Stegostoma tigrinum: one gene and its partner. The protein of the gene in region 1 interacts with the protein of each later gene in a biochemical or structural test. Links are inferred from orthologs where the notes say so. Each region holds a gene or a part of one and is shown in the gene's direction. Other genes may lie near its edges.

What was found. The genes of interacting proteins can lie anywhere in the genome.
Region 2: the proteins of parp2 (region 1) and histone PARylation factor 1 form a complex in vitro, tested with the Homo sapiens proteins (2 studies listed by BioGRID). The link is inferred for Stegostoma tigrinum from reciprocal best matches to the Homo sapiens genes PARP2 and HPF1.

What each region holds. Positions count from the first base shown.
Region 1 is NW_026728242.1:133,543-141,001, forward strand, and holds the start of parp2 (poly [ADP-ribose] polymerase 2), read left to right. Parts: upstream 1-4,451; coding exon 4,452-4,471; intron 4,472-5,068; coding exon 5,069-5,242; intron 5,243-6,788; coding exon 6,789-6,925; intron 6,926-7,459. UniProt on the Homo sapiens protein: Poly-ADP-ribosyltransferase that mediates poly-ADP-ribosylation of proteins and plays a key role in DNA repair.
Region 2 is NC_081356.1:127,097,514-127,104,673, forward strand, and holds the start of histone PARylation factor 1, read left to right. Parts: upstream 1-4,093; 5' UTR 4,094-4,547; coding exon 4,548-4,592; intron 4,593-5,696; coding exon 5,697-5,862; intron 5,863-7,160. UniProt on the Homo sapiens protein: Cofactor for serine ADP-ribosylation that confers serine specificity on PARP1 and PARP2 and plays a key role in DNA damage response.

The sequences.
Region 1 (7,459 bases):
CCTGATGTTGTAGTTATCCCAATTGGTTCACAGTCAGACCCCCCCCCTGATGTTGTGGTTATCCCAATTGGTTCACAGTCAGACCCCCTGATGTTGTAGTTATCCCAATTGGTTCACAGTCAGACCCCCCCCTGATGTTGTACTTATCCCAATTGGTTCACAGTCAGACCCCCTGATGTTGTAGTTATCCCAATTGGTTCACAGTCAGACCCCCCCCTGATGTTGTAGTTATCCCAATTGGTTCACAGTCAGACCCCCCCCTGATGTTGTAGTTATCCCAATTGGTTCACAGTCAGACCCCCTGATGTTGTAGTTATCCCAATTGGTTCACAGTCAGACCCCCTGATGTTGTAGTTATCCCAATTGGTTCACAGTCAGACCCCCTGATGTTGTACTTATCCCAATTGGTTCACAGTCAGACCCCCCCCCTGATGTTGTACTTATCCCAATTGGTTCACAGTCAGACCCCCCCCCTGATGTTGTAGTTATCCCAATTGGTTCACAGTCAGACCCCCCCTGATGTTGTAGTTATCCCAATTGGTTCACAGTCAGACCCCCTGATGTTGTACTTATCCCAATTGGTTCACAGTCAGACCCCCCCCGATGTTGTAGTTATCCCAATTGGTTCACAGTCAGACCCCCCCTGATGTTGTAGTTATCCCAATTGGTTCACAGTCAGACCCCCTGATGTTGTACTTATCCCAATTGGTTCACAGTCAGACCCCCCCCCTGATGTTGTAGTTATCCCAATTGGTTCACAGTCAGACCCCCCCCCTGATGTTGTAGTTATCCCAATTGGTTCACAGTCAGACCCCCCCCCGATGTTGTAGTTATCCCAATTGGTTCACAGTCAGACCCCCCCTGATGTTGTAGTTATCCCAATTGGTTCACAGTCAGACCCCCCCCTGATGTTGTAGTTATCCCAATTGGTTCACAGTCAGACCCCCCCCCTGATGTTGTAGTTATCCCAATTGGTTCACAGTCAGACCCCCCCCCGATGTTGTAGTTATCCCAATTGGTTCACAGTCAGACCCCCCCTGATGTTGTAGTTATCCCAATTGGTTCACAGTCAGACCCCCTGATGTTGTAGTTATCCCAATTGGTTCACAGTCAGACCCCCCTGATGTTGTAGTTATCCCAATTGGTTCACAGTCAGACCCCCCCTGATGTTGTAGTTATCCCAATTGGTTCACAGTCAGACCCCCCCTGATGTTGTAGTTATCCCAATTGGTTCACAGTCAGACCCCCCCCGGTGTTGTACTTATCCCAATTGGTTCACAGTCAGACCCCCTGATGTTGTACTTATCCCAATTGGTTCACAGTCAGACCCCCTGATGTTGTAGTTATCCCAATTGGTTCACAGTCAGACCCCCCCCCCCGATGTTGTAGTTATCCCAATTGGTTCACAGTCAGACCCCCCCCTGATGTTGTAGTTATCCCAATTGGTTCACAGTCAGACCCCCCCCCTGATGTTGTAGTTATCCCAATTGGTTCACAGTCAGACCCCCCCTGATGTTGTGGTTATCCCAATTGGTTCACAGTCAGACCCCCTGATGTTGTACTTATCCCAATTGGTTCACAGTCAGACCCCCTGATGTTGTAGTTATCCCAATTGGTTCACAGTCAGACCCCCCCCTGATGTTGTACTTATCCCAATTGGTTCACAGTCAGACCCCCTGATGTTGTACTTATCCCAATTGGTTCACAGTCAGACCCCCCCCCTGATGTTGTACTTATCCCAATTGGTTCACAGTCAGACCCCCCCCCCCTGATGTTGTAGTTATCCCAATTGGTTCACAGTCAGACCCCCCCCTGGTGTTGTAGATGTCCCAGTTGGTTCACAGTCAGGCCCCTGGTGTTGTTCCCAACCCAATTTGTTCACAGTCAGCCCCCAGTGTCATACCTAACCCAATTTGTGATTTTGATTTGATTTATTGTTGTCATGTGTACCTAAGTACAGTGAAAATCTGTGTTTGTGTAGAGTACAGGCAGATCATAGCAAATAAGGACATACAGATCATAGATAACACAGTGTGGATCTGGAGGAACACAGCAGATTAGGCAGCATCAAAGGAGCAGGGAAGCTGACGTTTCGGTTTAGAACCCTTCTTCAGAACTGTTTAGCCCCGACCTGAAACATCAGCTTTCCTGCTCCTCTGATGCTGCTTGGCCTGCTGTGTTCCTCCATGCCCACGCTGTGTGCTAGCTCTGACTCCAGCATCTGCAGTTCTTGCTATGTCTCATGCAGATTATCGGGTGCTTAGACAGAACTAGGCATCTAGGTTACGCTGCGCAGGAGGGGTGCGAAGCAAGATCAACGCGAGCAAGATGAGCATTATTTGAAGTTCGGGAGTCTATTCATTAGTCTAATAACAGCAGCGAAGAAACTGTTCCTGAACCTGATGGTGCGTGTGTTCAGGCTTCTGTGTCTTGTGCCTGATGGACGAGGTTGTAGGGGATCATTACCAGGTTTGGAGGGGTCTTCGATGATATGGGCAGCCTTTCCACAACAACGAGACAAGTAACTGGAGTCCATGGGTGGAAGGTCGGCTTCTGTGATGGTCTGGGCTGTACACACCGCCTTCTGCAGTTTCTTACGGTCCTGGGGGAGAGCTGTCACCGTACCAGGCCGTTGTTCACCCGGAACGGTATGCTTTCTGTGGTACATCAGTAAAAGTTGGTGAGGGTCCTTACGGAAAACCCGGAATTTCCTGAGCCGCCTGAGGAAGAAGAGGTACTGTTGAGCCTTCTTGACCGTTGCATCCGAGTGGGAACCCCGGGACAGGTTCTCGGTTATTGTCACTCCTCGGAACATGACACTCTGCTCCGTTGGTGTGGATGAAGCGTGTCTTCCCCCTCCTTGCATGGTCAAATCCTGTGACCCCCCCACCGCCGCCAGGTTGTGCCGCTCCCAGTTTCTGCACAGTCAGAAAAAAAAGACTCAGCCTTGTTTCTGAGGCAAGAAATTACAGAGAGTTGCGAACACAGCCCAGCCCATCATACAAACCAGCCTCCCATCCATTGACACAATTTGAGGTTGTACAAGATGTTGGTTAGGCCCCGTCTGGAGTACCATATAAAACCCGAAAGAACGGCAGATGCTGTCAACCAGAAATAAAAACAGAAGCTTTTGGAAAAGCTCAGCAGGCCTGGCAGTGCCTGTGAAGAGGAATCAGTTGTTGTTTCTGGTCTGGGGCAACCCTTCCTCAGATCAGAATGCTGAGCTTTCCAAGCAATTTCTGCTTTTGTCCCTGGAGAACTGTGTCCAAATCTGGTTGTCCTCTTACAGGAAGGGTGTCGTTGAAGCTGGGGAGGGTTCAGAAGAGATTTACCAGGATGTTGCTTGAAATGGACGGTTTGAGTTATAAGGATAAGCTGGAACACTGGAGGTTGTGGGGTGAATTTACAGACATTTATGAAATTGTGAGAGATGTAGATAGGTTGAATGGCAGGTGTCTTTTAAGAGTGTGGAATTTAAAGACCAGAGCACATTTTTAAGGTGAGAGGAGAAAGATTTAAAAAAAAGGTGAAGGTTTTTGTTTTAAATACAGAGGGTGGCCCGAGTGTGGAATGAGCTTCCAGTGGAAGTGATGGATGTGTGTACAGTCACAATGTTTAAAACGCATTCGGATAAGTACATGAATAGGAAAGGTTTAGAGGGATACAGGCCAGGAGCAGGCAGGTGGGGCTAGTTTGAGATTTAGCATGGACTGGTTGGGCCGAAGAGTCTGTTTCCGCGCTGTACAGACTCCACCTGTACTTCCTGCTGCTTCGGGAAAACAGCTAACATAATCAAAGACCCCTCCCACCTCAGTTGCACTCTCTTCACCCTCTTTTCATCGGGCAGAAGATACAGAAGTTTGAAAACACATATCAACAGATTCAAGAACAGCTTCTTCCCTGCTGTTATCAGACCTACGAGTAGATCCCTCATATATTCGAGTTGTTCTCTCTCTGCACCCTCTCTGCTGCTGGAACACTATATTGGGCATTCTGTTTTACTATCCTGATGTACTTAACTAAGATATGATCTATCTGCATCGCATGCGGATTATACATTTCACTGTATCTTGGTGCATGTGACAATAACAAAGTGGAACAGAAGAAAACCTGTTCTTCCTGAAGTGTGCGTCATGCCCGCTGCTCCTCTGGGCTGGGACGAGTCGATGATTTTTCTTTCAAAACATGACAAAAAGCAGATCTCGGTGCTACGGGCTGAATGGCATTCTGTGCCGTCTCGTTCTACAATTCTGTGCCTCACAGGGATTTTTTTGAAATTCATTAATTGCCTGTCATAGTTGTGCTTAAGAAAGTGGCGGTGAGCTGCCCCCTTGAACTGCTGCAGTCCCATGTCCTGTGGGGTAGACCCACAGCGTCCCCCTCAGGGAGGGAATTCCAGGGATCCTGACCTGGCCACACTGAAGGAACGGCCGATATATTTCCAAGTCGGAATGACGAGCGGCTCAGAGGGGTAACTCGCAGGGGGCTGGTGTTCCCATGTATCTGCTGCCCCCTTATCCTTCCAGATGGAAGTGGCCGTGGGATGTAGAAGGTGCTGCCTGAGGACCCTTTGTGAGTCTCTGCAGGGCGTCTTGTAGATTACACACTGCTGCGGTTGAGCATCGGTGGGTGGGGGAGCGGGTGTTTGTAGATGTAGTGCCAATCAAGTGGGGAGCCGCTTTGACCCTGGACAGTGTGGAGCCTGTCGAGTGTTGTCAGAGCTGCCCCCATCCACGGGCAAGTGGGGTGTATCCCATCACACTCCTGACTGTGTGTTGATGGTGGGACAGGTTTTGGTGGAGTCAGGAGGGGAGTTGCTGGCCACAGTATTTTGATCCTGTGACCTATTCTTGTCGCGACTGTATTTATGTTATGAGGATGTTGATTGTGGGGGGGGGGGCGGGTTTCAGTGATGGCAACGCCATTGAATGTCAAGGGAGGGGGGTGGTTAGATTTTCTTTGATTTGGGGATGGTCACAGCCTGGCATTTGTGTGGCGCAAATGTTACGAGGCACTTGTCACCCCAAGCCTGGATATTGATAAGTTTTACCTCGGTGGTGTGTGAGAGTTATGGTAGTGGGACTGGTGTTCTCCCTGCAGGCCGCAAGAGAGCGACGGCAGACAATGATGAAGAGGAGGTGGGTCTCAATGAGTTAGCTGGCCGTTGGGAATGGGAAGCGGATGACGGATCCTGGAATGTTTACTCGGCCGAGCATGAGCGGGAGCTTTCAGAGGCTTTGCGGTAAGTGTCAAAAAGCAGTGTTCTGCCAAAGGCGCCTCGAGTTCAAAACTCAAATCCTTCCATCGTCTCTGATCCCACCTGTCTGTCCGCCTCCCAGCCTAGTTTTACCTTCCCCCAACTCTGTGATCTTCTTCCGTCCCAAAACCTTCATATCCCTGCTTGCTTCTGATTCCCGACTCTCAAGTTCCTTCCCTATGATTGAAATTTCTGCAGCTTCAGGTACCCGTGCCCATAGCAGAGGAATGACCCAAAACATCTCCACCTCCCACCTTCTCTCTCACTGGCTCCCTCCCTCTCTGTCTCTCTCTCTCTTCCCCTTTCTCTATCTCTCTCTCTGTCAGTCTGTCCCCCTCCACATACCCCACCTGTCTATCTCTGTCTTGCAGTCTGTCCGCTTCCACACACACCCTCCCTCTCGCTCTCTCTCGCTCTCTCTCGGTCTTACATGGTGCCCCTCTCGCTAGGTCTGCCGTCTTCTCTCGCGATCTTATTTAACTGATTGTGTGACTGTGAAGTTGCGTGTTTTAAGTTTTTCCAGGAATGTTGGTTTCACTGGCTAGACCCAGGATCTGTTGCCTGTCTCCCTGGACCAGTGCATGGTGCGCCCACCTAGACTGCTGATAGGGAGGGAGTTCCAGGCCCAATGATGGTAATATATTTCCAGGTTGGGATGGAGAGCTTGCAGGGGGCTGGTGTTCCTATGTATCTGCTGCCCCTTGTCCATATTGATGGTGGAGGGTGTGGGGTTTTGGAAGGTACTGAATTACGGAGCCTCAGTGGGTTTCTGCAGCGCATCTTGTAGATGGTACACACTGCTGCGACTGAGTGTTGGTGTTTGTGGATGCCATGCCAATTGAGCGGTTGGCTGGTTTGTCCCTGGGTGGTGTCGACTTCTCGAATGATGTCGGAGCTGCCTGCACCCAGTGCAAGTGGGGAATATCCCATCAGACAGGGGTGGGGTGTGTGCCTGTGTGTGTGCCTGTGGAAGAGGGAAGAGTCAGGAGGTGAGTGACTCGCTACAGGATTCCCAGCCTCTGACCTACTCTTGTAGCCCCTTGTGTTTATGTGGGGCCGGTCCAAGTTCAGGTTCTGGTGAATGATAATCCCCAGGATAGTGGGGACAACGGTTAGATTTTCCCTTACTAGAGATGGTCACTGCCTGGCATTTGTGTGGCATCAGTGTTACCTGCCACTTGCCAGCCCAAGCCTGGATATTGTCCAGATCTTGTTGCATTTGAACGCGGACTGCTTCAGGACCTGAGGAGTCACGAATGGTGCTGTACACTGTGCAGTCATCGGTGAACATCCCCGATTCTGCTGCCTGTGGGGGTGGGTGCGGTCATTGATGAAGCAGCCGAAGGTGGTTGGCTCTAGAACGCTGTCCTGTTGGAGATTTGAAGGAGTGTGTTAAGTGAAGAACGAGGGGGCAGGGTTGGACTTTCGGACCAGGGAACACAAACTCGAGCCTTTCCAAGTCCGTCGCATTGACCTAACACTGCACCTTATCTTGCCCTCTTCCCCCCCCCCCCCCCCCCCCCCCCCCCAGGTCCGGGAATACCTCCGTTCAGCTGTCTCTTCCTTCGAAGATCACCCTGCGAGTGGATTTGAAGAAAATGGCCCAGGAGAACAGCCAGACAGGCTTCGAGAGGAGTGTGCGCTATGCTGTGAAAGAGAAGGAAGACTGTATGATCCTGTCCTGGCAATGTTTGACGGGCAAAGAGTAGAGAGAGCTTTACTTTCAGCTCATTGGAGTAGAGAGAGCTTTACTTTCAGTTTATTGGAATAGAGGAACTTCACTTCCTGCTTAAAAGAGTAGAGGGAGCTTTACCTTCTGTTGAGAAGAAGAGGGAGATTTACTTCCTGTTTAAAAGAGCAGAGGGAGCTTTACTTTCCATTTCAAGGAGGAGGCAATTTGAAAGGGATGTCAAGATGGGCTCCTTTCCCAAGTAGCAGACCTGGGATCTCTCGCACTAAGTGCTGTTGAAGTTTAGGGTGGGCTAGCTATAAATGTTACCAGTGGCATTGATGGATGTTTTCTGGCAACTGTACACAGACTAGTGATGCAATGGTTGGGAATTGTGAATCATGGCAGCTAGAATCTCAATGAATAGTCAGACAGGCTCAAGGGACTGAATGGTCCCCTGCCGTTCCTCTGTAACTGGGTCCAGGAGGTGGCTGAGTGGCCTCAACCTGATTCTGTGTAACAGACTCCAAGAG
Region 2 (7,160 bases), on another chromosome or scaffold:
GCGCTGAGGTCGGGAGTTTGAGACCGCACCGGGGCCGGGAGTTGAAATCCAAGCTGAAGTTGGGAGTCTCAGTCCACACTTTGAAAGTGGCTAAAATGCACTAAATATAGCGAAAGGTCCTAGGAAAGTGCAATTCTTTTGTAGGACATGATGAACACCAGCAAAGGCACCTCCCCTGCCAATCCCTGGGCCCTATCCGAGAAGGAAAAAGAGATAATCTCACAACTGCAAAGGTCTGAGAGAGGTTCCCGTCAACGTCCTCACAAGGTTTCTCACACTCACTCCGTCAGTGCAGCTTGTCGGTCTTTGTTAAAACAGACCACTGGATCTTTAACCCGACCTCCTGTGGGAAGATCCACACAGGATTAGCTGGGCACCCTTCAGGATGTGTGCCAGAAGATGGTGGGTACCCTTCTTCAGGAGAAAGCACCATTCTCTCGTCAACAGGACATAGAGCAAAACGAGTCACAGTGACGCTAGATTTCCCCAGGAGATACCACGGTGATAAAGAGCTGCTCAATTCCAAAAGCAAATGTTTCACTGCTGATCCATTTTTTGTTTTTTGGTTATTGGGATGTGGGTGTCACTTATTGGGCCAGTATTTATTACCCATCCCTAATTACCACAGGGCATTAAGAATCAAGCACATTTCTGTGGGCCTGGAATCATGTGAAGCTGAGACCAGGAAAAGACAACAATTTCCTCCTCTGAAGGGCAGGGGTGAATCAGAGGGGTTTTAACTACCATTGACAATGATGTCACAGGACCCAGGAAGCCTGGGTTCAAATCCCACCTGCTCCAGAGGTGTGTAATACATCTATGAGCTAGAGGACTTCGGTGAACCGGGAAAGATTCAAAAGGGACTTGAGGGGCAACGTTTTCATGCAGAGCGTGGTGTGTGTATAGAATGAGCTGCCAGAGGAGGTGATGGAGGCTGGTCCATTTACAGCATTTAAACAGCATCGATGGGATCTGAATAGGAAGAGTTTAGCGGATTATGAGCCAAATGCTGGCAAATGGGACTAAATTAGTTTAGAATATCCTGTTGGCATGGATGTGTTGGACAGAAGAGTCTGTCTGCATGCTGTGCATCTCTGTACAGGTTGATTAGAAAGACATCCTTTATTTAGAGATTTTCATTGAATTCGAAAATTCATCATCAGCCATTGGTGGGATTCAAATCCATGTGGCCTAGAATGTTGGTTTTGGGTTCTAGATTTCTCTTCCAGTGACATTCATAGATGTTTGATTACTCTAGGTCAGGTCAGCACAAGGAGGGGGAATGTGTTGGGTATTCTAAAAGGCATTAGGGTGGACGAGTCCCCAGGTCCAGATGGGATCTATCCCAAGTTACTGAGGGAAGCGGGAGAGAATATAGTTGGATATCTTTGCATCCTTGAGCACAGGTGAGGTCCCGGAGGACTGGAGAATTGCTAATGTTGTCCCCTTGTTTAAGAAGGGTAGCAAGGATAATCCAGGCAATTGTAGACCGGTGAGCCTAACGTCAGTGGTGGGGAAACTGCTGGAGAAGATACTGAGGGATAGAATCTATTCCCATTTGGAAGAAAATGGGCTTATTAGTGGTAGGCAGCATGGTTATGTGCAGGGAAGGTCATGTCTTACCAACTTGATAGAATTCTTTGAGGAAGTGACAAAGTTGATAGATATGTGAAGGGCTTCATTAAGGCATTTGATAAGGTTCCCCGTGGTAGGCTGATGGAGAAAGTGAAGTCGCATGGGGTCCATGCTGTACTAGCTAGATGGATAGAGAACTGACTGGGCAACAGGAGACAGAGAAGTTTCTCAAAATGGAGAACTGTGTCCAGTGGTGTTCCACAGGGATCCATGTTGGGACCAACATTGTGTGTGATATACGTAAATGATCTGGAGAAAGGTATAGTTAGTCTGATTAGCAAGTTTGCAGATGACACTAAGATTGGTGGAGTAGCAGGTAGTGAAGGGGACTGTTGGAGAATGCAGCAAAATATAATCAGATTGGAGAGTTGGGCAGAGAAATAGCAGATGGAGTTCAATCCAGGCAAATACGACTCCCCTCTCCACCTATCTTCTTTTCTCTCCATCTTCGGTCCGCCTCCCCCTCTCTCCCTATTTATTCCAGAACCCTCACCCCATCCCCCTCTCTGATGAAGGGTCTAGGCCTGAAACGTCAGCTTTTGTGCTCCTGAGATGCTGCTGGGCCTGCTGTGTTCATCCAGCCTCACATTTTATTATCTTAAATACGAGGTGATGCATTTTGGAAGATCCAATTCAAGAGCAAACGATACAGTAAATGGAAAAGCCCTGGGGAAAATTGACGGGCAAAGAGATCTGGGTGTTCAGGTCCATTGTTCCCTGAAGGTGGCAATGCAGGTCAATAGGGCATACAGCATGCTTACATTCATCAGACAGGATATTGAGTACAAGAGTTGGCAGGTCATGTTACAGTTGTATAGGACTTTGGGTCAGCCACATTTGGAATACTGCATACAGTTCTGGTCGCCACATTACCATAAGGATGTGGATGCTTTGGAGAGGGTGCAGAGGAGGTTCACCAAGATGTTGCCTGGTATGGACGGCGCTAGCTATAAAGAAAGGTTGAGTAAATTAGGATTATTTTCATTAGAAAGTCAGAGATTGAGGGGGGACCTGATTGAGGTCTACAAAATCATGAGGGGTATAGACAGGGTGGATGGCAAGAAGCTTTTTCCCAGAGTGGGGGACTCAATTACTAGGGGTCATGAGTTCAAAGTGAGAGGAGGGAAGTTTAAGGGAGATATGCGTGGGAAGTTCTTTACTCAGAGGGTGGTGGGTGCCTGGAACACGTTGCCAGCAGAGGTGGTAGATGGAGACACAATACTGTAATTAGATTAGATTCCCTACAGTGTGGAAACAGGCCCTTCGGCCCAACAAGTCCACACCGCCCCTTGGAGCATCCCACCCAGACCCATCCTCCTATAACACACACACCCATGAACACTACGGGCAATTTAGCATGGCCGATTCACCTAGCCTGCACATCTTTGGACTGTGGGAGGAAACCGGAGCACCCGGAGAAAACCCACGCAGACACAGGAAGAATGTGCAAACTCCACACAGACAGTTAACCGAGGCTGGAATCGAACCCGGTTCCCTGGCGCTGTGAGACTGCAGAGCCAACCACTGAGCCACAGTGCCGCCCAACATCTTTTAGGATGTATCTGGACAGGTACATGGATGGGCAGGGAGCAAAGGGATACAGATCCTTGGAAAATAGGCAACAGGTTTACACGGAAGATCTGGATCGGTGTAGGTTTGAAGGGCCTGTTCCTGTGCTGTAATTTTCTTTGTTCTTTCATTCCCACTACACCAGCAGCTCCCCAGGCAAGAATGGAACTTCATTCCCAGTTTGTCTGTGGCTCATACCAAATCTGAGACAGGAAGATGCCTCAGTAAACGGCAGAGGGGAGCTGACTGCGTCCCTCAGGCGGAGTCGATCAGTTGACTGACTGTGCCCCTGTGGCAGAGGAGAGGAGCTGACTGTGTCCCTCTGGCGGAGGCGGAGATCTGCACCTCCCAGTCGCAAACCATTTCCACTCCCCCTCCCATTCTTTAGATGACATGTCCATCATGGGCCTCCTGCAGTGCCACAATGATGCCACCTGAAGGTTGCAGGAACAGCAGCTCATATTCCGCTTGGGAACTCTACAGCCCAATGGTATCAATGTGGACTTCACCAGTTTCAAAATCTCCCCTTCCCCTACTGCATCCCAAAACCAGCCCAGTTCGTCCCCTCCCCCCACTGCACCACACAACCAGCCCAGCTCTTCCCCTCCACCCACTGCATCCCAAAACCAGTCCAACCTGTCTCTGCCTCCCTAACCTGTTCTTCCTCTCACCCATCCCTTCCTCCCACCCCAAGCCGCACCTCCATCTCCTACCTACTAACCTCATCCCACCTCCTTGACCTGTCCATCTTTCCTGGACTGACCTATCCCCTCCCTACCTCCCCACCTATACTCTCCTCTCCACCTATCTTCTTTACTCTCCATCTTCGGTCCGCCTCCCCCTCTCTCCCTATTTATTCCAGTTCCCTCTCCCCATCCCCCTCTCTGATGAAGGGTCTAGGCCCGAAACGTCAGCTTTTGTGCTCCTGAGATGCTGCTGGGCCTGCTGTGTTCATCCAGCCTCACATTTTATTAACTGACTATGTCCCTCTGGTGGAGGTGGCTGATTGACTGACTTTGTCCCTCTGGTGGAGGGGGGAGCTGACTGTGTCCCTGTCACGGAGGACGGCAGCTGAATGTTTCCCTCTGGCGGAGGCGGTCAGTTGTCTGACTGTGTACCTAGGCGGAGGAGAGGAGCTGACTGTGGCCCTGTGTCGGAGGCGGGGAATTGATTGACTGTGTCCCTCTGGCGGAGGCAGGCCGTTGACTGACTGCGGCCCTGTGGCGGAGGCGGAGAGGTGACCGTGTCCCAGTGGCGGAGGCGGGGAGCTGACTGGTTTGGGGGTGTGTTCAGTGTGTCTCCGTCTTTATTCTGCCGCCCGGGTAAAGTCGCGTTTGCTGAATATGGCGGGACGCGGGAAGAGGAAGGCTGCATTCAGAAGCTCCGAGGTAAATGGATGAGGATAGTCTGGTGAATACGGGATTGTTTTCAGCGTGATACACTGTAGCTCCGGAAGTAACAATGTGTCCCAGGGATTAAAGAGCAGCAACATTGTTTCACTAAATGTTACTAACAATGTCTTTACTAAAGTGTTAGTAAGTCTCTCATTGCAAAGATATTAGATGCGACAATGGAGCAGATTCTTTGCTCCAGTGCTGTTTTGGATTAAGTGAGGCATTGACCCCATAAGCCTTACCTGCACCATTTATTTTCAGATAAATGTGTGATATTTTTGACAAAAGGAAAGGTATTGAGTGTCTCGCCTATATCAGAGGGAAGGGTGGAACAAGACTTCTGTCAACTAAAATGACGACAAAGAACTGCGGGAGTTGGAAACAAACAAAACCAGCCTCAACACAGCTGGTCTGGCAGCATCTGTGGAGAGAGAGAAAACAAGAGTTAACGTTTTGAGTCACTTCTGTCAATTGTATGTTTCTGTGAAAGGCCACGTGTTTTTTCAGTATTTTTTTACAAAATATGTGCAGAAACCTCCACTACCCAGGATACAGGGAGTAGACTTATGGGGAACTATTAAAAACAGCAAATTCCCCTCCAAATCACCAGCAACAAAGGTGAAAACGTTATACAGTGTCTCTTTTGTTCATTTGTTATTCAGCACAATGTGGGCACCACTGACAGGAACAGCATTTGTTGACCATTCCTAATTGCCCTTGAACTGAGTGACCTACTAGACCATCTCAAAAGGCAGGGTTAGAAAATAAAAGAATGAGAGGTGACCTTATTGAAACATTCAAGATTCTCAGGGACTTGGCAGTATAAGCGCAGAAAGATTGTTCTCCCATATGAGAGAGGCTTGGGCCAGAGGGCATCTGTAAGTGATCCCACTTATTGACTGTAGTTTTGCCTTTGATGCCACAATTCCAAACAAACTAATCCCCAAACTCTTAGAGAACTAGGTCTCTGCTTCCCCCCTCTGTAACTGACTCCATCTACACTTCCTGCTGCCTCGGGAGCTGTTTTAGTGTTTTGGGAATGTTGCAGTGTTTACTGTTTGAATTATTTCAGTTTTCTTTGTGATTCATTTACCTCAGTCTAAGAACCCGGTAGCTGAAGATGGTAAGAAGAACCGAGGAGAGAATTCCAGCATTCCTGAGGAACTGCGACAAGAAGTTCGGGATCTCTACAAGCTACAGATGCCAGAAGATTTTTATCACTTCTGGGAATTCTGTGAGAAGCAAGATCCAGAGAATCCATGCGGTACGCAACCCCTGACCCCGTCTCGATTAGTGTTCTCAATGCAGAAACCAGTCAGGCATCTGTGGCTAGATGAGTGGGAGAGGTTTAGGGAGAGAAGATCTCCTGAAGATCCCCCTTCCCACTTGCTCCAGTACTTGTACCCTTAAAAACCATCAGCCCAGTCCTAATTCATGAAGTTCCTTATGGCCTGGTTTGGTTGAGAAGAGAAGTAGTTATCTGTGGTACACATGGAGTCAGAGGTTAGCCATGTGGATACCGGCCCTACAGCCCATCTTGCCCATGCCACACAGTTTCCACAATTAATCTAGTCCCATTTGCCTGCATTTGGTCCATATCCCTCCATACTTATCCCATCCATGTACCTGCCCTCTGGACTCTTTTGTTTTTAGTCTCTCCCCTCTGACCTTAAACTGTGGAGGCCATTCTACCCCTGATGTCTGTGCTGGATCTTTGGAAAAGTGATTTTGCTTATTCCCATACCCCAACCTTGACCCTGTAGGTTCCTCATCCTCCAGCATCTGTCCATCTTCCTTCAAAGATCGTGAAGTAGCAGAATTCTATCTCTGCAGAAGCTGCCAGACCTGCAGAGCTTTTCCAGCAATTTCTATTTTAGAACATAGAACATAGAACAGTACAGCACAGAACAGGCCCTTCAGCCCACAATGTTGTGCCGACCATTGATCCTCATGTATGCACCCTCAAATTTCTGTGACCATATACATGTCCAGCAGTCTCTTAAATGACCCCAATGACCTTGCTTCCACAACTGCTGCTGGCAACGCATTCCATGCTCTCACAACTCTCTGCGTAAAGAACCTGCCTCTGACATCCCCTCTATACTTTCCACCAACCAGCTTAAAACTATGACCCCTCGTGCTAGCCATTTCTGCCCTGGGAAATAGTCTCTGGCTATCAACTCTATCTATGCCTCTCATTATCTTGTATACCTCAATTAGGTCCCCTCTCCTCCTCCTTTTCTCCAATGAAGAGAGACCGAGCTCAGTCAACCTCTCTTCATAAGATAAGCCCTCCAGTCCAGGCAGCATCCTGGTAAACCTCCTCTGAACCCTCTCCAAAGCATCCACATCTTTCCTATAATAGGGCGCCCAGAACTGGACGCAGTATTCCAAGTGCGGTCTAACCAAAGTTTTATAGAGCTGCAACAAGATCTCACGACTCTTAAACTCAATCCCCCTGTTAATGAAAGCCAAAACACCATATGCTTTCTTAACAACCCTGTCCACTTGGGTGGCCATTTTAAGGGATCTATGTATCTGCACACCAAGATCCCTCTGTTC